Schizosaccharomyces pombe: one gene and its partners. The protein of the gene in region 1 binds, or shares a complex with, the protein of each later gene. Each region holds a gene or a part of one and is shown in the gene's direction. Other genes may lie near its edges. The genes, in order: mrpl16, mrx14, mrpl40 and mrpl27.

The links.
Region 2: mrpl16 (region 1) and mrx14 share a complex: the UniProt entries of both Schizosaccharomyces pombe proteins name them as parts of the mitochondrial large ribosomal subunit.
Region 3: mrpl16 (region 1) and mrpl40 share a complex: the UniProt entries of both Schizosaccharomyces pombe proteins name them as parts of the mitochondrial large ribosomal subunit.
Region 4: mrpl16 (region 1) and mrpl27 share a complex: the UniProt entries of both Schizosaccharomyces pombe proteins name them as parts of the mitochondrial large ribosomal subunit.

What each region holds. Positions count from the first base shown.
Region 1 is NC_003423.3:3,506,429-3,512,752, reverse strand, and holds mrpl16 (mitochondrial 54S ribosomal protein uL16m), read left to right. Parts: upstream 1-3,619; 5' UTR 3,620-3,819; coding exon 3,820-4,467; 3' UTR 4,468-5,230; downstream 5,231-6,324. Other genes in the region: ARS-binding protein Cbp1, read left to right, coding at 414-1,982; protein tam12, read left to right, coding at 2,850-3,050; lys4 (homocitrate synthase), read left to right, coding at 5,446-6,324. UniProt on the Schizosaccharomyces pombe protein: Component of the mitochondrial ribosome (mitoribosome), a dedicated translation machinery responsible for the synthesis of mitochondrial genome-encoded proteins, including at least some of the essential transmembrane subunits of the mitochondrial respiratory chain.
Region 2 is NC_003423.3:3,801,316-3,807,601, reverse strand, and holds mrx14 (mitochondrial 54S ribosomal protein bL34m), read left to right. Parts: upstream 1-2,573; 5' UTR 2,574-2,700; coding exon 2,701-3,027; 3' UTR 3,028-3,271; downstream 3,272-6,286. Other genes in the region: SPOM_SPBC21C3.06 (uncharacterized protein), read right to left, coding at 144-512; U2 snRNP-associated protein Sap62, read right to left, coding at 768-853, 917-1,358, 1,675-1,800; cqd1 (ABC1 kinase family protein ), read right to left, coding at 3,272-4,717, 4,773-5,405. UniProt on the Schizosaccharomyces pombe protein: Component of the mitochondrial ribosome (mitoribosome), a dedicated translation machinery responsible for the synthesis of mitochondrial genome-encoded proteins, including at least some of the essential transmembrane subunits of the mitochondrial respiratory chain.
Region 3 is NC_003424.3:2,669,665-2,675,438, forward strand, and holds mrpl40 (mitochondrial 54S ribosomal protein uL24m), read left to right. Parts: upstream 1-4,128; 5' UTR 4,129-4,315; coding exon 4,316-5,155; 3' UTR 5,156-5,274; downstream 5,275-5,774. Other genes in the region: mrpl28 (mitochondrial 54S ribosomal protein mL40), read left to right, coding at 149-505; Brix domain-containing protein Rpf1, read right to left, coding at 865-1,785; SBDS family ribosome maturation protein Sdo1, read right to left, coding at 2,507-3,119, 3,314-3,441; ESCRT III complex subunit Did4, read right to left, coding at 5,435-5,734. UniProt on the Schizosaccharomyces pombe protein: Component of the mitochondrial ribosome (mitoribosome), a dedicated translation machinery responsible for the synthesis of mitochondrial genome-encoded proteins, including at least some of the essential transmembrane subunits of the mitochondrial respiratory chain.
Region 4 is NC_003424.3:1,431,349-1,436,445, reverse strand, and holds mrpl27 (mitochondrial ribosomal protein subunit L27), read left to right. Parts: upstream 1-3,047; 5' UTR 3,048-3,070; coding exon 3,071-3,247; exon of another isoform or gene 3,248-3,292; coding exon 3,293-3,397; 3' UTR 3,398-3,673; downstream 3,674-5,097. Other genes in the region: SPOM_SPAC3A12.08 (uncharacterized protein), read right to left, coding at 663-1,307; DNA-directed RNA polymerase II complex subunit Rpb11, read right to left, coding at 2,031-2,262, 2,309-2,398, 2,444-2,493; SPOM_SPAC3A12.06C (sodium/calcium exchanger), read left to right, coding at 3,791-5,097. UniProt on the Schizosaccharomyces pombe protein: Component of the mitochondrial ribosome (mitoribosome), a dedicated translation machinery responsible for the synthesis of mitochondrial genome-encoded proteins, including at least some of the essential transmembrane subunits of the mitochondrial respiratory chain.

The sequences.
Region 1 (6,324 bases):
CACTATTATTGAGCAATTTTACGCAATTTCACAAATATACTAAATACAAAACTAACAATACTCTTACTGGTAATCCAGTTTATGTCGACCAAAAACTTTTATTTGGAAACCATGAAATAGCACCAGGAATAATTCATTTTTTTATACCACTGCAAAAAATTGGCCCAGATGAATTAGGAAAGCCAAACCTGGTACGACCATATGTTGATTTTTGAAGATGAAACTCACTATACTGTTTACCGCTGTTTGTTTCATCGCTTAACAGATATTAAGCTTAGATATTACGTTACGCTGTTCAGTATAATATTACGAACTCGTGACTGTTAGTGTCGTTTTATTAAGGCAAGAAACCTTTGCTCTGCTATCCTTATATTTTCACTTCAAGACATTAGAAATAATAAAGCTATCGAGTAATGGGAAAAATCAAAAGAAGAGCCATTACAGAACATGAAAAACGCGCTCTTAGGCACTACTTTTTTCAACTTCAAAACCGTTCCGGTCAACAAGATCTTATCGAATGGTTCCGTGAAAAGTTTGGCAAAGATATTTCACAGCCTTCCGTCTCTCAGATCTTATCCTCCAAATACTCGTATCTGGACAATACTGTAGAAAAACCATGGGACGTGAAACGTAACAGACCACCGAAATACCCTCTTTTAGAGGCCGCTTTATTTGAATGGCAAGTTCAACAGGGTGACGATGCTACACTTTCCGGTGAAACAATTAAGAGAGCCGCCGCTATTCTTTGGCACAAAATTCCCGAGTATCAAGATCAACCGGTTCCGAACTTTAGCAATGGATGGTTGGAAGGTTTCAGGAAGCGCCATATACTTCATGCAATTAATGAACAACCCACCGAGTCTGTGGTTTTGAATAATACGGAACCACCTAATGATCCTCTCTCTCGTGTTTACGATGTCACGCGATTAACGAATATTAATGATATCTTCACAATGCAAGAGACCGGTCTTTTTTGGAAATTGGTTCCAAATGGCACTCCCGAAGTCGAAGATATAAAAGGTATTACTCGATTCAAAGCTCGTATTACACTAACCGTGTGTTGTAATGCTTCGGGAACCGAACGTTTGCCTTTATGGGTTATTGGATACTCACAATCTCCCAGAGTGTTTCGGGCTGCTAATGTAAAACCCGAAGTAATGAATTTCAAATGGAGAAGTAATGGTAAGGCATCCATGACCACAGCTATAATGGAGGAATGGCTACGTTGGTTTGATGCGTGTATGGAAGGTCGCAAAGTCATACTTCTTATTGATAGCTATACTCCACATTTGCGTGCTGTTGAAAACATTCGAAACTCTGGTAATGACCTCAGAAATACAACTGTAATTACTTTACCATCTACTTCAGCCTCTATTTCCCAGCCTTGTAGTGAGGGTGTGATCTATGCTCTAAAAGCATGCTATCGCAAACACTGGGTTCAATATATATTGGAACAAAATGAGTTGGGACGCAATCCCTATAATACTACTAATGTTTTAAGAGCTATTTTATGGTTGGTGAAAGCATGGACGACAGACATATCACCAGAAATTATTGAAAATGCCTTCAATCTTTCCGGTGTTCTTGGTCTATTCAATGAATCTGCCGTTACCTCGCGTGCCTTGGATGAAATGATTCATCCACTTCGTGAGCTCGTCTCAGAGTTTTCTGTTCAAGCTGCTATGCGTATAGAGGATTTTATAAGTCCTTCAGAAGAGAATATTGTTGATTCCTCTGAGGATATAATCAATCAAATTGCTTCGCAGTACATGGATGATCGCGCTTTCGAGACGGACGAAGAAGAATCTACTGAATTCCAGATTACCACTAAAGACGCTATGAAGGCGATCGAGCTTTTGCTAAACTATGAAGCTCAACAACCCGATGGAAATCCTGCAATCACGATTAGTCTATTAAATTATCAGAAGCTCCTTGAGGCAAGGGGTGGTAACGTGAATCTTTCTCGTTTGAGAAGCACCTAATGTCTGTATTCGTTGTGCATATTTGACTTTTTTGTTTTTGGTTTGTATTTTAGTAGTTTTAATTTTCTTTTTGTTGAGTTTGGATCCCTTACCTAATGAGTAATTTGCTTTTATTCCTTCATTTTAACTTGTTGCTCTATTTTTAATACCCGATTGCAACTGATGAGCTTATTTGATTTTTCTTTGTTTTTATTTTAATTTTTTTAAAAAAACCTTTTCGAAGTTTCTTAAACGCAAAATCGCTATACGAGCTAATGAAATTGAATATTATACATTTTGTAATTCATGTCTCGCAATCAAGTGCTTTTAATATTGATACTATTTATCTTTAAAAATAAAAACCGGCTAAATGTAAGAAATTTTTTTTTTTTATTGAGGCATATTTGTTTTTTTAAGGTCGAGATTAGATTGTAAATAGTTGAACCGTAGGGGTTAGAGCTTCAAAAAATGATAAATTATTACTGTGAAACCCGAATTTAATCCATTTACGCATGATTGATTTTATAAAAATGTACTTCTCTTTTGCTAACTGCTTCGTACTGTAAATAAGCTTACTTTACAGTTAAGCATTACAAAGGTATATGATGTAATGATATAAGAAATAATCAATAACGAACTTTGATGTTATACGTAACATGAAATAACGATTTCTCTTCGAGACCTAGACTAACATGGCGATGTTCATAACTATGGCGAGTAAGCACATTTCTATTTCTACAAATAACTCAAATCCTTTGCTTGAACAATCAAGCGTGTTATAGCTTATTGGAATTTTTTAAGACTTTTTACAGCAAGAATCAGTAAAATCAGAGAAATTCGAATTGGCAAGTCTTCAAGGTTGTGTCCATTCGGAATATTTATTAAAGTATGTCAACAACTAGTTCTTCGTCGACGTTTTCTACGAGAACAGCGTCTTTATCCCAATCATATACAAATTCATTAAAGAAGGAAGCTGCTCAAAAGACGTTAGAAAACTGGGAATATCAGGCTATTCACGCTTTGCAGAACAATTCTTCTTTTCCCGCGATACGTAGATCAATGCGCAAGATTTTAGCAGATCCTTCATAATTTCCTAATCCCATTTTTTGTTTTTTTTATAATCATGATGTGAGCAAGTTCTTGCTACAGGGGACAAAAGAGTTGCGCTTGGCATTCTTACGTTCGATTGTCCATACAATAATGTTTAGCTCGATAGAGGATCCTTCTAATGGTTTATAAACGTACATCAGAAGATTTTTTTAAGACAGTCTTAACATTCCAAATACCAATACTGAGGCACTAAACAGTTGAACGTTTTGTTATTCTTCAAGGACAAGAATTCCTTGACAAGAAATGAGCTAAGTATATTATTTGAAATAGCTAAAATAGTCACTGTTTTATTTCTATTCACGCATTGTTGTCATTGAAATGATGATGCTGAATCAAATAATGTGTTGAGCATAAAACGCACGTTAAATTCAGTATCTATGAAAATAATCTTTTTTGCCTAATGCTTAAGATAATTTTTTTTTTTTTTTTTACAAACTAATAAACAAACAAATAAATAATTATAGCTAATGTTCAGTTATTGTCCGGCTTCTTCCCGGAACTTAGTTAGGATAAGTGGCAGCAACACATACAGAATCCAAGTATCCTTTAACCCCCTTCTCATACAAAAAATAGCAGGCCTATTATCGTTACTATTGTTACCATTTTCCCATAAAAAAAGAAATATAATACTTAAATTTGATTATTTTGAATATTTCTGAGTAACTTTAAAGAACGACTTTTGCATGATAATAAAAACACGTTGTTTTATGACTTTTTGAAACCCTCACAACATAAAAACTTATATAATATGGCTTTACAACAATACAATAAATTTCCTTTCTTTTTTTCTGGTATTTTAGGACCTACGAGGTTGAATGGTTTACAAATGCCGCCTATCCAAACGATGGTTCGTTGGGGACACCAGTATGCACCCAGAAGCATCAGAAACCAAAAAGCTCAGAAAGGAAGAGTCCCTATACCCATAGGAGGTTCACTACGTGGTACTCAACTTGAATGGGGAGAATATGGTATGCGATTAAAAGATCGAAGTATAAGATTTCATGCCAAGCAACTCGAAACTGCCGAACAGATTCTCAAGCGTATATTAAAACCTATCAAGGCTGCTCGGGTATACACACGTTTTTGTTGCAATGTGCCAGTATGCGTAAAAGGAAATGAAACTCGTATGGGCAAAGGCAAAGGAGCTTTTGAATACTGGGCTGCACGGATACCAATCGGTCGTGTACTTTTTGAAATTGGTGGTGATGGAATGCGTAAAGAGTTAGCTGAGCATGCATTGAAGCAAGCCGCTTTTCACCTTCCAGGCAAGTATGAGATTATCGTCAAGCAAACCCCCAAAAGATTGGGTACCACACTGATTCATGAAACCCCCATTACCACCGAGACAAGCAAAATGAACTATCAGGAAATTACCAGTACTACTACAGCTGTTTAAGGGAAAAGTTAAGCTGAATTTATCTATTTTTAACCCATTCAATAATTACTTTTCTGTCATACTTCTCACTTACTTAGTTTGTGAACTTAATGCTGCATCTTTGTACAGACATTCATGAGCTTCTTTTCAATCGTTGTAGTTATTCTATGTTTTAGTGAATGAAATTTGCCAGAAATGCCTTAAAACATTGTACATTTTGCGCTATGTTTCATTATCTATTTTCGAAATGGGAACTTTCATCCCCAATGAGAGAGTTGCTTAATTTTTGTTGGCGAAATATGAACCACTTTTGATTCACTTTGATTACGGCTCGGCAATTTCGTTAAAACATCAAATTTCTTTGGTCCTGAAAAGTTGGTAACGGTAATGAGTGTTTTTGGCGAAAATCTTATTTGCTGCTCTCTGCTCCGTTGGGGACTTTTTTTCGGGATGTAAAAAACGGCACGTTGTATATGTGCGAAATCATGAAGTGAATCAAAAAGTACACTTTAAATAATATGAAACTGATTTTACTATGGAATTACGAATGAAATTATTCAAATCAACTCCACTAAAATATTTACAACGTTTACAAAAAAAATCACTATACCTTCTAGAACCTAGCTTAGCAATCCACTGTTGAGTGGATCAGTAACTTAATCATTACTACCATAGATCTGATTAAATCTCATCAAGATCGATCGGGATCTGTAAATCAATTTTCTACCATAAATTACCGCGGTTGCCTACGAGTTGGTAGTGACTGTTTCTTTCAGTAAATAAATAGGGTAGGGTCGAATTTTTTGAAATTCATACATACGTGCATCCTTGCTCTTAGTTGTCTCCTCTACAGTGATAAAAGATTTAGCTTAAAAAATTCAAAGCTAACAGGTTTCGGGACAATAAGTTGTTGAATTGTATAATTTATATATTTATACTTAATTCATTTTAGAAAATTCGCTTTTCCTTTTCCTTTTTTTGCATTTTAAAGTCATCAACATGTCTGTGTCCGAAGCTAATGGTACTGAGACCATCAAGCCTCCTATGAATGGAAACCCTTATGGTCCCAACCCATCTGATTTTCTTTCACGTGTCAATAACTTTTCCATTATTGAGTCTACTCTTCGTGAAGGTGAGCAATTCGCAAACGCTTTTTTCGACACCGAGAAGAAAATTCAAATTGCTAAGGCATTGGACAACTTTGGTGTCGATTACATTGAATTGACTTCTCCCGTGGCTTCTGAGCAGTCCCGCCAAGATTGCGAAGCTATTTGCAAATTGGGCTTAAAGTGTAAAATTTTAACTCATATTCGCTGTCATATGGATGACGCTCGTGTCGCTGTTGAGACTGGAGTTGATGGTGTTGATGTTGTTATCGGAACTTCTCAATATCTTCGCAAATATTCCCATGGAAAGGACATGACTTACATTATTGACAGCGCTACCGAAGTTATCAACTTTGTCAAGAGCAAGGGTATTGAAGTCCGCTTTTCATCTGAGGATTCTTTCCGTTCTGATCTTGTCGATCTCCTTTCTCTCTACAAGGCTGTAGACAAGATTGGCGTCAACCGTGTTGGTATTGCTGACACCGTTGGTTGCGCTACTCCTCGCCAAGTCTACGATCTTATTCGTACCTTACGTGGTGTTGTCTCTTGTGATATTGAATGTCATTTTCACAATGACACTGGTATGGCTATTGCTAATGCCTATTGCGCATTGGAAGCTGGTGCTACCCATATCGATACTTCCATTCTTGGTATTGGTGAGCGTAATGGTATTACTCCTCTTGGTGCCTTGTTGGCTCGTATGTATGTCACCGATAGGGAATACATTACCCACAAATACAAGCTTAACCAGTTACGTGAGCTTGAAAACCTT
Region 2 (6,286 bases), 300 kb from region 1:
GCTTTTTGTGACTTTTATAAAGGGATTCCCATTAATTTATAGAATATTCATATAACGGTATCATGACTTGACTGAAAGAGGGAAGCCGTGTACATTTTAAAAAGTGTAAAATAAACACGTAATTACTTTTTATAGTATACAATTTAAGTGATACTAATTTTGTGATTAGGAAAGCTGGTAATGTCATCCTTAACTGGCTTTGCTCTTGCAAAACTAAGCTTTTCTCGAGCATAAAGACCAAATTCTTTTATATTTTCAACACCAATTGTTCGCATTATCAAACAGGAAGCGAAGGTAAAGGTTGAAACAGTTAATACTGATGTAAATGAAAACAATTTCCAAGTAATCAAAGTTGGATGCACCATTTTCTCAACAACTGGGTTTGGAGAAAAAAAATTAGGCCGTTTTAATATTGTCCGTTGTAGAACCCATGTAGACCAAAGGAAAGTTGAGCTAGATATCGCAAAAATCGCGTCCACTGTAGCGACATTTGCTAATTTATCGAACGCCATACAGTAGAAGTTAGCCAACTTTATCAATTGGTACTTCCACAAATCTGGGAAAATAAGTATATAAATCACCAAAATAGGTTTAGCTAGCACGGTTCTTCTACAATTCACGTGTGGAGAAACAATTCAGAATGATTGAGTTCGAATTCTTTTACACACATAAAGAACTGCGGTATTGATAAATTGGGAGACTGAGCGAAATATTTGGAAAAGACATTTTGTTTCATAAAAAGGAAATTTAGGATAGCAGCTCAAAATTTACGATATTTTTGTTAAGTTGTAAAAGAATTGGATAGTATATGTAGGTGCATCCCAATAACTCCAAAATTTCCCGGGTGCACGATCTATTTCGTGAGCATCTGCGCAACAAAGTTAATATAAATAAAAAATCAGTAAAACCAACATACCAATTTTAAAGGCTATTGATTCGTATGGTTCAGCAGCCACTACCAGATACTGAAACTTTCGGTCAGGAGCTTCAACACGCTGTTCATAAGCACTCATAATTCTGTATCTTGGCTTAGCGTTCACTTCAATATCTGGATACTTTATTTGGAAACGTAGGCCAAATTTTCCGCTTTCGGCTTCTCTTATTTTGGACACTTTATAACCGGGTCGACCAATTTTTACGACACTTTTTTTAACCTGGACATGGGATTGAGAAATGCCCAACAACACTTGTGGTGCATTCTCTTGAGACTTTTTATTTTCGAGAGCCTGTCTCCTGGCTAAATTTGTCTGGTGTTTTTTACCTTGTGTATGGGTAAGGTAAGAGTTTTCATTCGCATGTGTAGTGAGGCAAAGACGACATTCAAAAGTGCCTAAATGATTTTTCATCAAATATGGATCCTATAAGAGATTAGCAATAGAAATATCATCGCAAAGAGTTTGAGGAGGAAGCTTCAAGGTGATTGACAGGGTAAAAAAAAGATGTCCAATTAGTGTAACATGCAAAACAGCAAACAAGGAAGTAGAAAGCAAATCCTTTTCATTTATTATTGTTGTTATTTTAGTTGTTATAGTTAGCGAATTTAACAGCAACTACTAATAAACTTCAATAATATGTAACATACGTACATGTCTTACTTTACACGATTAATTCATCGGTAATTATAATTGACATTCAGCACTCAAATTTTCAGAATTCAGTGGTTTTTAAACATACCTTTGATAAATCAATGGTTTCTAGCGCCAATTTACGAAGACGCTCTCTACGTGCAGCATTTGTTTCTTGATAGCCAGCAACGCCTCCTCCTCCAAAACGAACACCTGCGCGGTTTTGATAATCCATTTTTTAGTTCCTAGAAAATCCAACACTTATTTTTCTGTACTTTCACAATGACAATAAAGTCCCCTAAAAGACGGTGGCAGAGGCTGTACTTTCGTGAACCCCTATGTTTAAAGAAATATCGCAATGCAGAACAATACGCTAAATTCTCATCGTCGATGCCTTTTTTTTAACAAATATTTTAAATAGCAGATTAGAGCTCCTTTTCTCCATTTTATTATGTCACGTAAAAACAAAAAAAAATAATAACTTTTGATAAATTTAATGTATTGATGCTCCCATATATGAGTATATTTAATATGCTTTCAATATTTAAAAAGCCGGGACTGCAGCAATTTGCTTCCAATTTAAAATACTGGGTATTATTAATAAAATAAAATAGATAAAAGAAAGTATAAGATGTCATTTAACTGCTAAAACCTTTTTTGTACTATAAATTATCACTTTTAGCCCATGAATCGAATTCATTAAACTGATGGATTTTACTATTTGGTAATCTCATGCCAATTATTTGTTGGGAAAAAGCAAAAGCGATATCAAATTTTAGGGGTTCAGGTTGCTTTCTTTAAGGGCGTATAAAGAATGGTTAATGAACTATTTATTAATAATAATAGTATTATTATTATATTACCGACATTCCAGTGAATTGAATGAAACTATTAAAACGTAGTTATTGGATTTTAGCAAAGATTTTAATTTATTGTAACACAAATATTTGAAATTTAACACTTCGAATGTCAAACGGTGCTACACTGATTCACTTCAACCTTTCTAATAACCAGCTACTCCATCACATCTCAAATCTCTTCATTTTGCACATTTACGTTCATATATAATTTTTATATTATTTTTTGAAATTTTTTCTCTTGAAATCCAGTCACCTGCTTTCATTCCTATTGCTTTATGATGTTTATGCAACAATTTCGAAATTTGTTGCATCCTGCCATGAAGGGAGCCAGGAATATTTCAATATTAGCTGGAGGAGGAACTATGAGAGGGTTTCCGACAAGAAACCCTTTTAATACCGCTACTTTATACAGTTCTTTACCGACTATGAACATCTTCGGTCAAATGCAGCAAGTGCGTTGGAAAACGTATGGAAACGAGTATCAACCCTCAAATAGAAAGCGTAAAAGAAAACACGGATTTTTATCTCGAATTCGTTCTGTTAACGGTCGTCGTGTTTTACGAGATCGAAGACAAAAAGGGAGGATGTATCTGAGCCATTGAGTACATATTATCTTTTAATGGGCTCTAATTTGCATTAGTAACCTCTATCAATTCTTCATTTAAGTAATGCTTTCTAGTTTGTGATACATTTTCTTTCCATTGGTTCTTTGTTTAATTTTACTTGTTGAACTTTGAACTTTAATAACTTCTTTAAAACACGAGTTTATAAAATTTATTTTCCATGTCTGCGACTATATTTTTCATGAACAATTTTCCATCATTTATAAAATAAACCGTAATTTTTTTATATATTGGGTGCGATCATATCGGACTTAACCCACTTTTCTACCGTTTCTTTAGAGGTGCTTAAAAGCAAAAATTGTCTAGCTTCTAAAGCTATCCATAATTGAACCATTGGGTTTGTGAGTGAGACATTGGATTTCGATGAAGCAGAACGAAGATATGGTGTAGCATTACTTAATAGATCCATTTCTGGATATAGTTGGCGTCCAGCGCCTTCAACTAAAAGGATAGATAGCACAGTATTTGCGAAATTTGCTTCAATTCGAACATGATGCTCTCTCGCCATAGTCATTACTTCTTGTAATATAGTTCCTATTTGAAGTGATTTCAGTGAAAGCGTGCTCTTTTGAATTTCATTCAACAAATGTTCCATTTTAAGAGCAAATATGTCTTTGTTTATAACGCGTTCTGTCTGCCTGCTCCTTTCAACCATCAACAGTCCAGCCTCATAGCCATGGAAAGTAAGTACGGCTTGAAACAGATCCAAAAAATTTTTCTGATCCTGCGTACTAAGTTTCGTTACTAATCCAGCATCCAAAAATACTAAAGTCGGTCGATAGCCCAAGATGTTTAATTCTTCCATAGCAGAATCCCATTCCTCCGTCGAACATGTACTTAGAATTTTATAAATTGAGTCATTAATCTCATTATCTTGATTAAAGATTGTTTTAGGGATTCCTTTGTAAAATTTAACAAGGACATTACCCGGATGAAGATCAGCATGTGTAAAGTTGTCAACAATAAGCATTTGAAATAATGCATTATTTCCTGTGTTAGCTAACAACTTGTTAAATGGTCCTGACTTATGTTTGAGGAACGCGCTTAATGGGATACCCGGCATATAGTCTTCTAGTAGGATTTGATTAGTCGTGTAATCATCATAGGGAGCTGGAAATTCAACATATCTATTTCCTCTAAAGTTAAGACGGAACTGGTTGAGATGAAGCGCCTCATAATGTAAATTCAATTGCTGGTTTAACATTGCCCCAAATACCTTAACTTCGTCGGGCAGAGAAAGCCACTTCATTGAAGGTACCAAATTAATTAATTTTGCGAAGAAACCTAAGATTTGTAAGTCTAAAGAAATGTATTTTTCAACATTCGGGTGCAAAACTTTAATGGCTACATCTTGAGTCACTGGCGCATCAGAGATATTTTTCTGTCGAAACCCTATAGATTGTAGCATACTTGTAAAGTAGGAATTATCTTGCTGCGTAGCTGCTTTCTTGATGGTAGCCGTATAGACTTGAGCAATTGCTCCAACACCTATAGGTATTGGGTTAAAATTAACAAAAATTTCCTCGATAGATTCCACTTTATAAGTCTTGCAGATGACTGATTGAGTATAGGCAAGGCTGTGGGGCGTTACATGTGAATGTAATTTGGACAGTGTTTTACAGAAAGCAGGAGGAAACAAATCTGTCCGTGAAGCAGCCCATTGTCCCAACTGCAAAATAAAAAAATAATGTTAGTAACATGATAAGCGTAAATTCAAAACGTACCTTGATAAACGTTGCTCCTGCTCTTTCTAATTGAGTAACGAGGAAACGAAGCCAAATGGATACGGTTAAAGACGACAAAGATCGAAGATGCAGGAAAGAAATAAGAGCGATAAACGGTAAGGTAATAATAATTGGAGAGAAAATAATAAATAAATTAAATGACCTGAGGAGAATATTAAAAAATTGTTTTATTTTTCCAAAAATAGAACGAGGTCGATTGCTTCTCTCTTCTAATTCAAGTTCGTCAAAGGAGAAAATATTATTCTTTCGATTTTTGACTCTGTATAAAATCCATAATCCTCCGACCGTAAAAGGGAGGACAAGAAATGTAATCCTTAGTATCCTCCATTGCTTCTGGTCTTCACTTTTTTGTCGGGTTGTAAACTTTCTTGCAAATATAGGTTTGGGGAATAAAGATATATGCTTCAATCGATTAACCAGTACGTGCTTTTTTTTGTATGGTGACCAAACTGACTGTGTCCCGCATAACCTTTTCCATCTTGTGTTCTGCGAGTTAACGACAGGAATATAATTTCTTTGAATAATGAAAGCAAAACGAGAGTTTGCAGAAGGAATCATGCTTAGACTAAGTCCCGAACGTATGTGAGAATTCCAGTGAGAAAAACTAATCATGTTCACCAATTATTGACTTTCAGAAGAGCATTTCCTTATCAAGAATCAAAAAAATAAATAAACTAATTACAATGGGTATTTTCGATTGAAAACACTGGCAAACCTGATAAAGAAAATAGGAATTGTTCAATAAATGTGTATAGCAGCTACTAAAAGAGGTGTTTCAAAGAATTTAGGAAACCCTGTCAACCTTTAATATCTTGAAAATAAAGAATGCACCAGTTCAAAAATATTGCTCAAATTTACGTGTCACTAGTGTCTATTGGTGTCAACGTCGAATGACGCTGTCTACTTGTGACTGGGAGAAAGAAAAATAATAATTGTTAGCCAAAATGAAGACTGTAATAATAATCAATTCTTTCATTTTATAAATAAAATATTGACTAATTAATGCTCAGTTCCTATTTGGATTCTATAGAATTGAACTTACAGTATGATAAACTGGATATGATCATCTAGTACGTGAAGAAACATTTTTTTATTCATTATTACCAATAAAATGTAATTTATCAAAATTTCAAAGTTCTAATTGAAGGGAAGATTATTAAAATATAAAAAATGACTGATTATAGGAATCACATTTTTTTTCCTTATACACCTATAATCGGTAATATTCAAATAAGTTAAATAATCAGTTCATGGTAGTATTCTGCTGCCAAAGAGAGATAATTGTAAAATCGCTAGCAGTTGATAAAATAAAGTATAAATTGAAATTAAAATGGAATTGTTTGTACTGAATTAAAAAGCTTTACCATCATTACTTCAATTGCCGTTAACTCAGAGACTAGCATAGAGTTTATCTATAGAGACTCTTTGATTGATTTAATAAAAAGCCTTTGATCGACGATGGTTCATTCGCCAAGTTTCATTGATGAGTAACA
Region 3 (5,774 bases), on another chromosome or scaffold:
CTCTACTCAGGTTTTTTAGCTTTTAAAGGAAGGTTTTATGTTAATACTTTTGAAAATTAAATTTTTTTCTATCAACGTGAAAAAATTCAAGGAGTACTTTAGTTTGTGTTGAAAAGTTTTTTGGCAGATGCGTTCTACGTTACAATTAATGGCTAAGGCCTCAAAGGGAAAGCACCAATCTGGTCCTTCTAATCATAGTGAGTCAATCGATTTGGTTAGAAAAGCTCTTTACGGAAATAAAAAAGTCAGGTCTTTGAAAATGAATCCAGACATGTGGGAAAAACACGAAGTTATTAATCGCGCTTGGCGTATACACGAATATCGACAAGAAAAACAAAGAGAGAATCTTCTAAAAAACCAATTCTCTGCAATGAAAATTGCTTGCGAGGAACTGAAGCATACGAGTGAAACATTATATAAAGCCGCAATGAGCGATTCAATTAACAGGAGGTTCCCCGTAGAAACGAGGACTCCTACGGACACACCACCACGGCTTTCTAAATAGGCGAGCGCCTTTTATGAGTATAATTAATATCTTCGGTAGTGCTCGAAAGTGTTATAGACAAGTTCAAGTATATAAAAAAATGTATCACTAATTACGAGCAAGTATAATCTAATTAGGATTTTTAAATAAACCAATAATTGAATTAAAGAATTATGTCTCCTAGTTTCTAGTCTACATGTATCATATTATTCATTCCCAATTTCACCGTAAACGAATGATACAAAATGAAAGGCCATGCTTTCTTTTTTAACCAAAAATTTAGAATTGTTACCAAACCCAAACCCTACCTCGAAAACAATAAAATATGACCCAAACACTGTTTTCTTTTTACAACGTGTCGCAGATGAGACAAAATGTCTTTAAAGCCAGAATTTACGTCTATCTGATTCTTCACCGGCATTGCTCTCGAAGAAAACCTCCCCTTCTTTCCTATCCCATACTCCTTTTTGAACCATACGAAGACGCATGGTAAATCGAGGACCTAATTCTTGTAGCCCAGTTCCAATACCATCTGGCATATTCGATTTTTCACGAAATGCATAACGGTGTCTTCGAAAAAAAAGAAAATCTCTTTGACAATGGATGGTAACAACTTGTCGCCCTTGAATTTGAGGCGTTTGAATAAATAATGATTGAAAGGCTCGAGCAACAGTCATACCAAGTCTCGTTGAGAAATTGTTGATTATCAGTTCTGGAATATGACCAGTGGAGCGGCCATGATTTGAAATTTCCTTTGCTGTTTGGAGATTCGATAAGGTAAAATAGAACGAAGGGCCATTCGGTAAGTGTACAAGGGTTAATGCATTTGTTTTTTTACGATCCTCATTTAATACCAGTAAATCGGTGTAACCACGCTTAGCAGCGGCTTCTGCGATTTCATGAACTTCAATATCTCCGGTTCTTTTTCGAAATTCAGCATTAGGAAAACAATCTAAAAGCTCAGATGCAAAATCATAGCATTTTCTAGAGGCTCGTTTACTCGTGGTTACCAAAAGTTTCGGAACTTTCCTTTCTTCACTAAAGTATGCAGAAAACTCATCATCTTTTAACTCCGCCTGAAGTTCCTCATCGGGTTTATCCTCTATGATAGTTTCATCATAAACTCGTTTCGATTCAATAGTAGCGGGAATATTTTCTGAAAGTCGCAATCTCTTCTTTTCCGGGTCTTTTTCTTCTTCTTTAGCACGTTCTTTTCTTCTTTCAAGCTTGTCCTTATTTTTTTGATGAAGAGCCTTCATATACTGCTGTTGGCGGACAATTTTGTTTTTAATCTTCCCCATTTTAATAAGTTGCGTATAATCTCTCAAAATTTAAAATTTAAGAATGAAATAATTTAAATCCTTACAAAAAATTGCAACTAAAAAAAATTGAGATAAGAATGAGCAACTTAAGTACAAATAAAAGAGAGTTAAAAAAAAGTATACGATGGGTTTGAAGTCTCAAAAACTTATTGCACAATCCAATTCCATGTCGCAAAATACCGAATCTGAAGAACATGCTACGAATTTCGTCAAATTTGCTTAAAAGTATTAACGCAGTATTATATCACACTGCTGTTAAGCAAAATGTATACTTTAGTTACAATTACTGTTTGTAAATAGGTGATATTACAATCCGAAATCGTACACTATAGATATCCTCATCATTAAATTGTTGAACAACTGAAAGCATTGTGGTAAGGGTTCAACATTCTACAAATCACTCACGCTACTTTCATTTTCACATTTGAATGCGTGCTTTGAATGGAACTAGCAGAAATGAAAGGGACGATAGTCTTTTAATTTCATTTCTTTACTTTCTTTTTACTTTCTTCTGAACTGAATTGCTATATTGATAAATTAAATAATGTTCTGGATAACCAGAACGAATCAGAACGTGTCTTTTAATAGCAAAATTTTTCAAAACCAAAAGCCAATGAACAATGTAAGCAAAAAGGAGGAGGAAAACAGATTAGGGAATTCATATAGAGCGTATTTTCAGAAAGGTTATTTGTATACCTTTTTAAGTCCTAGCCTCGCTCATGTCGAGTACTTGAACCATACCTCGGTTTTTGGTCTCATTTCGGACAAGTTCATCTATCAACTTATAATTCCCTGGAATCACGAGAGCTATGCACTCATATTCATCATCAATGTTTTCTTCTTCAATTTCATCAGCTAAAGAGCGTAAACGCTCTCGTAAAGCTTTTCCCTGTTTGACATCCACCACTATTCTGATGCGCATACGCGCACGGACGATAGGAATTTCGTTTTTTTCTTGCAATTTCTTAATAGCTTCCAGAGCTTGGGACTTTGCAGTTTTACTGGTAGAGACAGAAAAGCCACAATCAGATAATGCTTTTTCAATTATAGATGCTGGATAAGGTCGTTTAGAATTAGGATCCATGCACATCGCAGTAACATGGGAGACAATATCGCGATAAGTTGAAGACATTTGATGATGTCTTTCCTTTTCACCTACTTGAAAATCTCCTTTTTGCAAAATTTCTAAAATAATTTTATCTATATCATCTGTACCAAAAGCCTTTTTCAAATCCTGTCGGCTAGCTACATGTCCTTTAGAAACATTGTTAAACACATTGTGGATTTGTAAAACTTCATCCAGATCTGTTTCACTAAACTTGGTTAGCTATGGTTTTGATCAAAAAAAATTGTACGAGTTATTGAGTTGTTGACACCAGTCGACAAGACACGTGAATTCAAAAAGATAGCTTGTTATAATTTTCTGCTGATCTTAAAGAATATTTATCTGTAGCAAAGGCTGACTCTCACTAATTACAGTAGCTTAATTTAATGAAATCATGCATACATTTTGTTTCTCCATTCTGTAACTTTATTTTTATAACAAGCAACTTCAAATCTTTTCCCTCCTTTCTTATATTTTACAACGGACACATTGGTTAGACGAATTTGTCCAACAGGTTGACTAATAACCATTTTGCTCAAGATGGGTACTTTTTTGGATTATTTTTTGTTATTCTCACCTTCTCTAATTATAGTGTTTTAATCCAACGCCTAAATCTGTTAAACAGGTTAACAATCCATACACTATATATCGGTATTTAGATTTATCTGAAAATTAAACAAAAATTTGATATTTGCGAGCCTGAAAGGCAAAAGGATGGTTCCAATCATTTTTCGGATGTTAACATAATCTTGGAAAACCTTATGGTTAAATATTTAATATAAGTGCAAGTTATTTGTCGGGTTTTCTAAACCAGTTTACAAATCACGAATGATATTAGGCTTTTAAAAATTATTACCTAAATTCAGCAAATACTAAAAAAAAAGTAGAAAACAATAGAAGTATCGACTAAGTTTGAGTTATCCGACAAAACTTCAATCTTACATCCTAGTATATTAACACAACCACTTGCGAAGCGTTTCTATACGATTTCGCTTAACATTTTCAATTTTAAACTTATAAACAAATAGATAGAATGACATTGTCTTAACGAGTACACATCATTTTAATGTTGGTTAACGATGTCGAAGCTGTAGAATATTGCGTGCAAAAGCAAAAGCAAATTTTAAATAATGAAACTTAACCACGTATCGCAAAGTTGCCTTTGTGTAACAATGATCCATTTCTTTACTTATTGACGAAGAGAGTACTCAAATAACAACTGCAAACTACCAGCAGGATACACATTACTGTTTCATAGCATTCTTATTTTTTCTCTTATATTTGGCCATATTTATCCTGTCTAGAGGTTTTACTTTCGTTCCAACATTACAGCGTAGTAAATTCCTCTGTACAAGTGATGTACCACCGTTAGTTATTTAAATATTATAAAACTTTTTGAGCAGAATGAGAGACTTGCGTAAATTAATTCCAAGGCTCCGAGGCCCTGGTACTAACGTCTTAAAAATGAAAAAGCCTTTACCGTTGCATATGCGAACCAAAATACGCGAACACCTCAATAAATCTGATCCAACTGTTAAAGACGATAAATCCGCTAAACCCGAGTTACCGTTTGGAAAGCCAGCTGACAGAGTCCCTTTCTGGCATATTTTTAAAGGGGATTATGTATATGTTCATCAAGGACCTCTGAAAGGAAAATGGGGCCGTGTTGTTGAGACAAACAAATACACAAACGGTATTACCATAGAGGGGGTTAATGTGAGATCCGTCAAAGTACCAATTTTTCTTTTGCGAAATAAGCCTGAAGATAACCAAGATCCAGTAATTGATATTGCTCACGAAGTACATTATGCAAATGTGCGTCTTCTTGCGCATGCAAAGACTGACGCCGGGGAACCAGTTCTTATTCCAGTTAAGCTTAAAAAGCATTCCTCAACTAATCTCCGGTCCATTATTCGGCCTAATATTGAAGGAGTACAAATTCATACTATTCATCTTCCTCGTCCCAAGACTGAAGATAAGCCTAAAGATCCCGAAGGTAAACTCGATACTAAGAATCCAGTAGTTAGTAAAGTTACTTGGTCTCCTAGCTTATCGGAGCCTCCTCTTCCTCCGTTTGCAATTGGCGATTTACGAGCCAATTGGTCTCGCCGTTTAGATCGTATATGGGGATATAAAAAGAACAATGATGATTTTACTGAAATTGCTAAAGATCTTGTCCGAGCAGAGACTGCTGCTGAAGATTTAATAAAAAAACCCATCTCTCCTAATACTTACAGTGATTAAAACAAAAACGATGTTTGGTCGTTGCAAGCATTTTTTTATAACATTACATAATGATTCACAATCTCTAGGTTATAAAGCTTAATAAACTTTTGTAAACTCTTCTAAAAAATTTTTCAAGAAACTTAAATATATTTAACTTAGTAGAGTAAGTGATAAGTGATTTCAATGAAAGTGAAGTATTTGAAGTTTACACGTTAACCTAGAAAAACTTTTACTAATCAATGTAGAAAATCTATACAAATCAAGATCTTTAAAGTCCATTAATCTCTTGTGCGAAAATTAACGCTTTGCCAGTTCATCCAATCTGGCTTGTAAATTGTCTTCAGTCTTTAACTCCGGTACCGTACCAATTTGGGTCGCAGCATCTGGCAATCCTTGAGACAAATCGACTCCAATTTCATCCAACACTTTATTGACAAGTTCATCAGCTTCCTCTTCGTCATCTTCTTCTAAAGCATCGTCCATATTTTCATCAATCATTTCTTGTCTCTGTTCCATAATTTCATTTTCACGCTCGAATTGCTGAGTGATACGAGCCATTGCCGGTATATTCATGCTTTTGTTCATCCCTGTCAATAACTTTGTAAAAGTTAGTTCTATATTTTTCGATATTAAGGTG
Region 4 (5,097 bases), on another chromosome or scaffold:
ATCTTTTACAGAAATCTCGAATCGTTTTTTTTTTCTACTCCCTTAATTCCATCAAAGCTTCTGCGTTTTTTGAAAAATTACTTAATTATGGAATCAGTTATGTTTCGAATACAATAACCTGTTGCCAAAGTCTCGATTTACAAAAACGTGGTTAATACTCGAAGAGGAATATTTGCCTAAAGTGTAAATTGAGAATGTATCCGGTAATTGCTTATTTTTAATCCTTAATTTTTCTGTGGATCAATTGAAAAATATTAATTGCGATTGCCAAATCTTGTTTCAATGTCTTGGTTACTGTACTTATACTTTTATTCCAAGCAAATAAAAGTTTTATGCTATATGGAACGACTCAAAACATGCTTCTCTTGGCTAGGACTTGACGTTCAATTACTAACTGTTATAGAAAATTTACTATTTAGTACACAGTAGATAACTAACTAATTGGATATAGCACTTGAGACATAGATCTCAAAGAGATTGTATCTATTTCATAAAAGAGACCTTTGTCTCTGGTTTAATCTGTTAATGCAGTCACGTTAAGTAAAAGCATTTTTGGAATTGTAATCACAACAAATCCAAGTAACAAAATATCATTGTTTTCGTATGATCATTAGAAGGTTAAGGTTTGCAGTTTTAATATCATAAATGGCATTTAACAATGACTACGATTGTAAATCCAAAGCTTCAGCTAACAGCTGACTTTTAGAATTGTATAATCGTGCAACATCGTCTTTAACTCGAACGATTACCCAGTCTCCAGCAGGCACAGGCTTTTTGTAGTTTATGCTATAACTGGGAGTACGCACATCGAAGTTTTCAGTAGGAATAGGGTCCCGAGGCTGTGTTGATTGTGAATTTGCTTGCGATGATCTAAGATTCCGAACAGTCTCAAGAGACTCGATCAATAAAGTTGCAATGGCGCCCCCATGAGCCAGTTTCTGATATCCTGTCAAAGCCTTACCCATGAGTCCAATGCTGATCCATTCTTCATGTTCGGGGTCATAAAATGTTTTAAATACAGGTATCAATCCATCTTTAAAGGAAAGAAAATTGGAAGGATACTTAGATTGAAGCAAGGACGGATGCTCCTCCATTTTCATGCTGCGTTGACGTTCGCGATAAATGTTATCAATCATTTGAACAGCTTCAGGCGATTTCGAAATTTCAGAAATATGTTTCGCACTTGCTGGTAGTCGATGATATGCTGTATAGGCATCACTGGAAACAACCCAAGAAGCTAGACCGCCTACCATAAATCCCCCAATCCCTGCTAATAACAGCTTATTTTGAAATAATTTAGAGCTCATAATCAAAAATTGAACAAAGTTTCAAACTTTTCGTCACAATGTAATAGGAGCGTTTACTATTAGCGATATTCGGACGTTATAAAACTGATACGCAGATGGAGCATATGTGCAAAGCATAGGGTATCATTAATTTATGCAAGAATATTTATCGTATATTTTAAGAAAATATAATTACTTACATATCCAAAAAGTATTCTATAATAATAACTAATACAGGAATAAACAAATTTCGTAATGCAATTGAAGCAAAGCATTTGGAGAGAAAATGATGATTGTGAATAATTCAATGACATAAATTGTAATAGTACAACATTAATTAATTTATTTCTTTTAAGATTGAATGTAAGAATCGATGCTCTGCCCTACTGTAGGAAATTAATCACTTCGATTACATTCAGCAAAATTCAACTTTGAAAAAAAAAGCAATATCAGAGAATAATCCAGGTACCTAGAAAAACTTTCATCGCCATTGCTGCAGTTTTCTAGTTGGTTTATGAAGAAGCATATACAATAAAAGATCGGAGAACTTTCACCTTTTTTAAAGCATCTGTTTTCAAAAAAGAAAGAAACTTTTATTTTCCCTTTTAATACGACTTCGGTCCAAATTACAGAAGTTGCGAAAACGAAAGTCAAAATTTTTGTAATAAAGATGCATACAGAGGGTATTCTGTATTTTTTGAAACAAAACTCTAATAAATATTAGAGAAAAAGCAGCCGTGGATTTTAGGAAAACTCCATTTCAACGCCTTCAACAGATATCATTTTCAACTCCCATTCACGCATAAAATTAACTTTGATTTCTTCCAGATGAGTAATAAGGGACTTAGCAGCATCAACAATAACCTGCTTTGGAGAACAATCTTCTACGGTTTGTACACGAAGTATGAAATTGTGATTTAATGGATGAGGAACTTTGTAACCAGCAAAAAGAACCCTTTCGTCAGATAGGAGTTGACTTCGAAAAAGCAGTTAGAAAAGAAAAAAAAATTTAGAAGTCTTACTTTGCAAGCATATTAGCCAATGTATGATCCTCTTTTTCAAGAGTAACTACTGCGGCATTAGGTGATTTGCTATCGAGCTCATATGTGACTCTACACTGGTTAATGCAATTCCTTGTAAAATTGTTTATTCCTTACTTGGGGAGTCCCATAAGCTCAATGAGCTCATACCGTTCTGGCTGATTCATTATGCCAACGTTTTCAGCCGACTAGCTGAAGAAGAAGTAAGATGTTGATGCTTACGAGGGTTTTGTCCACGTTCTGTACATTAAGCATCACTATAAATCGTAATGCCATTTAACAAAAGCTTTAACACTTTATTCCACAACTCATCGTATTTCGTTATAAATAACGCGAACGTGAACGGACACTTAATATATATTTATCTGTTGGAAATCGGCTCAAACGAGTAATGAAATGGGAGATGTAACAGTATTTTTTAATAACTGATTTTAATAACTAAAATTTTTAAAGGCATATTTTGAGGCGTTTAATTGTAGATTAACCGTACTTGTTTTCATTGAACTGTGCAGAAAGATAAACAACAAGAAAGCTCATTTAAATGTTGAAAAAAAAATAGTTTTTCGTACTTATTTCATTTTTTAGTTTCATAATGTAATTCGTTTGTTCGTTTTAAACAAATATTTTTATTGTTTACATTCTATGTTTCGCTTTGACTGTTACCTTATACCGTTACCTTTTCTTTTATGACGGAAAACGCGCCAACTTAAACCCTCCATTTACCCAAATCGAGAGTTATTCAAAATGCATCAATCATTATTATGTTTTGGAGCAAGACGCTTGCCAATGACCACAAAGTTGGGTCATCAGTATTACAAGGGTACAAGAACTGGGAAAATGGGTCAAAAAACCAGGCATGGAGGTTTTCTTGTCCAGTGGTCGCGTGTTCGCACGTTTGTGCCTCCTTCTGGTGATTGTGAGGTATGTTGTAAATTAATGAATATTGTTTTATATTAACTTTCAAAGCTTTTGCCTTTTGTTTCTCGTCGAATTCAAGCCACTAAAGGAACTTATCCTGAAGGTGCAAATGGGTTGGATGGAGCTGTGTATTTTGATCTTGCTCATAGCTAGTATGTTTATCAGCCTCATTCTTTATTGTTTTGAAAAATTTTGGTACCCTTTTCAACTGTTGCTTTATTCTATCTGTTAATGATTGGGCATACACTTTGAAAGGAGAAATTTCTACGTTACGATACCTTATGTTGCGTTGACTGTTGTTATTTATTGTTTACGGACACGTATATTTATCGATATTCTGTTGTGACGTTTGCTTCTATTAAATATACTAGTTACATTCTTACTTTTTCTGCCAAAATTGGGGGCAATCTTGAGTACTGCGCATTTATATATTTATTATAGGATTAGTCTTTTTCATCCCATCTATCTTAGAAAAAAAAGGGCTGCTAATACCTAGCAATGCGGTTTAAGCATGGATTTTCTATATCTTGGATATCAGGTATAAAAATGTCGAAAACTTCATGTTTCTTGAAGAAATACAGACTAATATTACTTTGGTGTATCCTTGGCATTGCCTACATTTTATTCTGGACTCATCGGATTAGCAAAGCGTTTGCTTCAGTATCCTCGACTTCGGACTCAACCGTCCATCTTTTTGAGCGCGGAAATACCTTAAATGATAGCAACGACCAAATTTTACTTACATGCAATGATATCAAAAACATTACCCCTGCTAATCAATGTCGGTTTGCAAAGGCTTACTGTAAGGGAGAGGCTAGTGGGTTCTTTGATTACGTTGAATTTTATTTTTGTACCATTAACAGTCTCCGATTCCCAGTGTTATCAATAATTGTGGGATGGCTGATTTTCCTTTTCATAACTATCGGAATTTCTGCTAGTGATTTTTTTAGTACCAATTTGGTTACTATTTCGTGGCTACTTCAATTGCCCGATTCTGTGGTTGGCGTTACTTTTCTTGCTTTAGGCAATGGATCTCCTGATATTCTTAGTACGTTCGCTGCTGTACGTGTCAACAGTGGGGGAATGGCTATTGGGGAACTTTTGGGCTCTGCATTCTTCATCGTAGCCATAGTTGCTGGCAGCGTATGTTTAATAAAGCCATTTAAAATACCTCGGCGTCACTTCCTTCGGGATGTTGCTTTCCTTACCGGTACTATTTTACTTGTTATAATGTTTGTTTTGCATGATGGTTCGTTGAGTATTTGGCAGAGTCTCGTAATGATACTTTATTATCTACTCTACGTTCTTTTCGTCTTTTTCTCTGGTAGCTCTGGTGTTAGCGTGGTAATCACTGATGAGAATTATTTGCCTGTCTCCCTTCCAGTCTACTCACCGGTTTTAAATTCTTTCGATGACTCGGATTCCTATAGTAGCACGGATTCTGAATTATCCGAAGAGGCATTTCTCTTGCCTGCCCAAGCATCTAGAAAGACCCAAAAAATACATTACATTAACGATAATGACCCTTCAAATTCGTATTCCTCATATCAACATTCCCATGTCCATGATTTTATTCACAAAAACAACACTCATTCTAACCGTGTGCTAAGTCAGTCATCGGGCCCCATTGTGCGTCCTTCGTTGCTTGCTGCTCTCGACTTTAGATCTTCGAATGAGGAACAACATCCGGGATTACGCTCACTTGATCCATTGAATATTCAAGACGGTGATCTTACTATGCATCCTATGCATATTCGCCATTCTCAAAGCGATTTTTATCCCAGTGGAATTAACACCCCTGTGAGTGGAATTAATTATCCCAATTTGGGATTTAGCGCCAATAATAGCGTGCA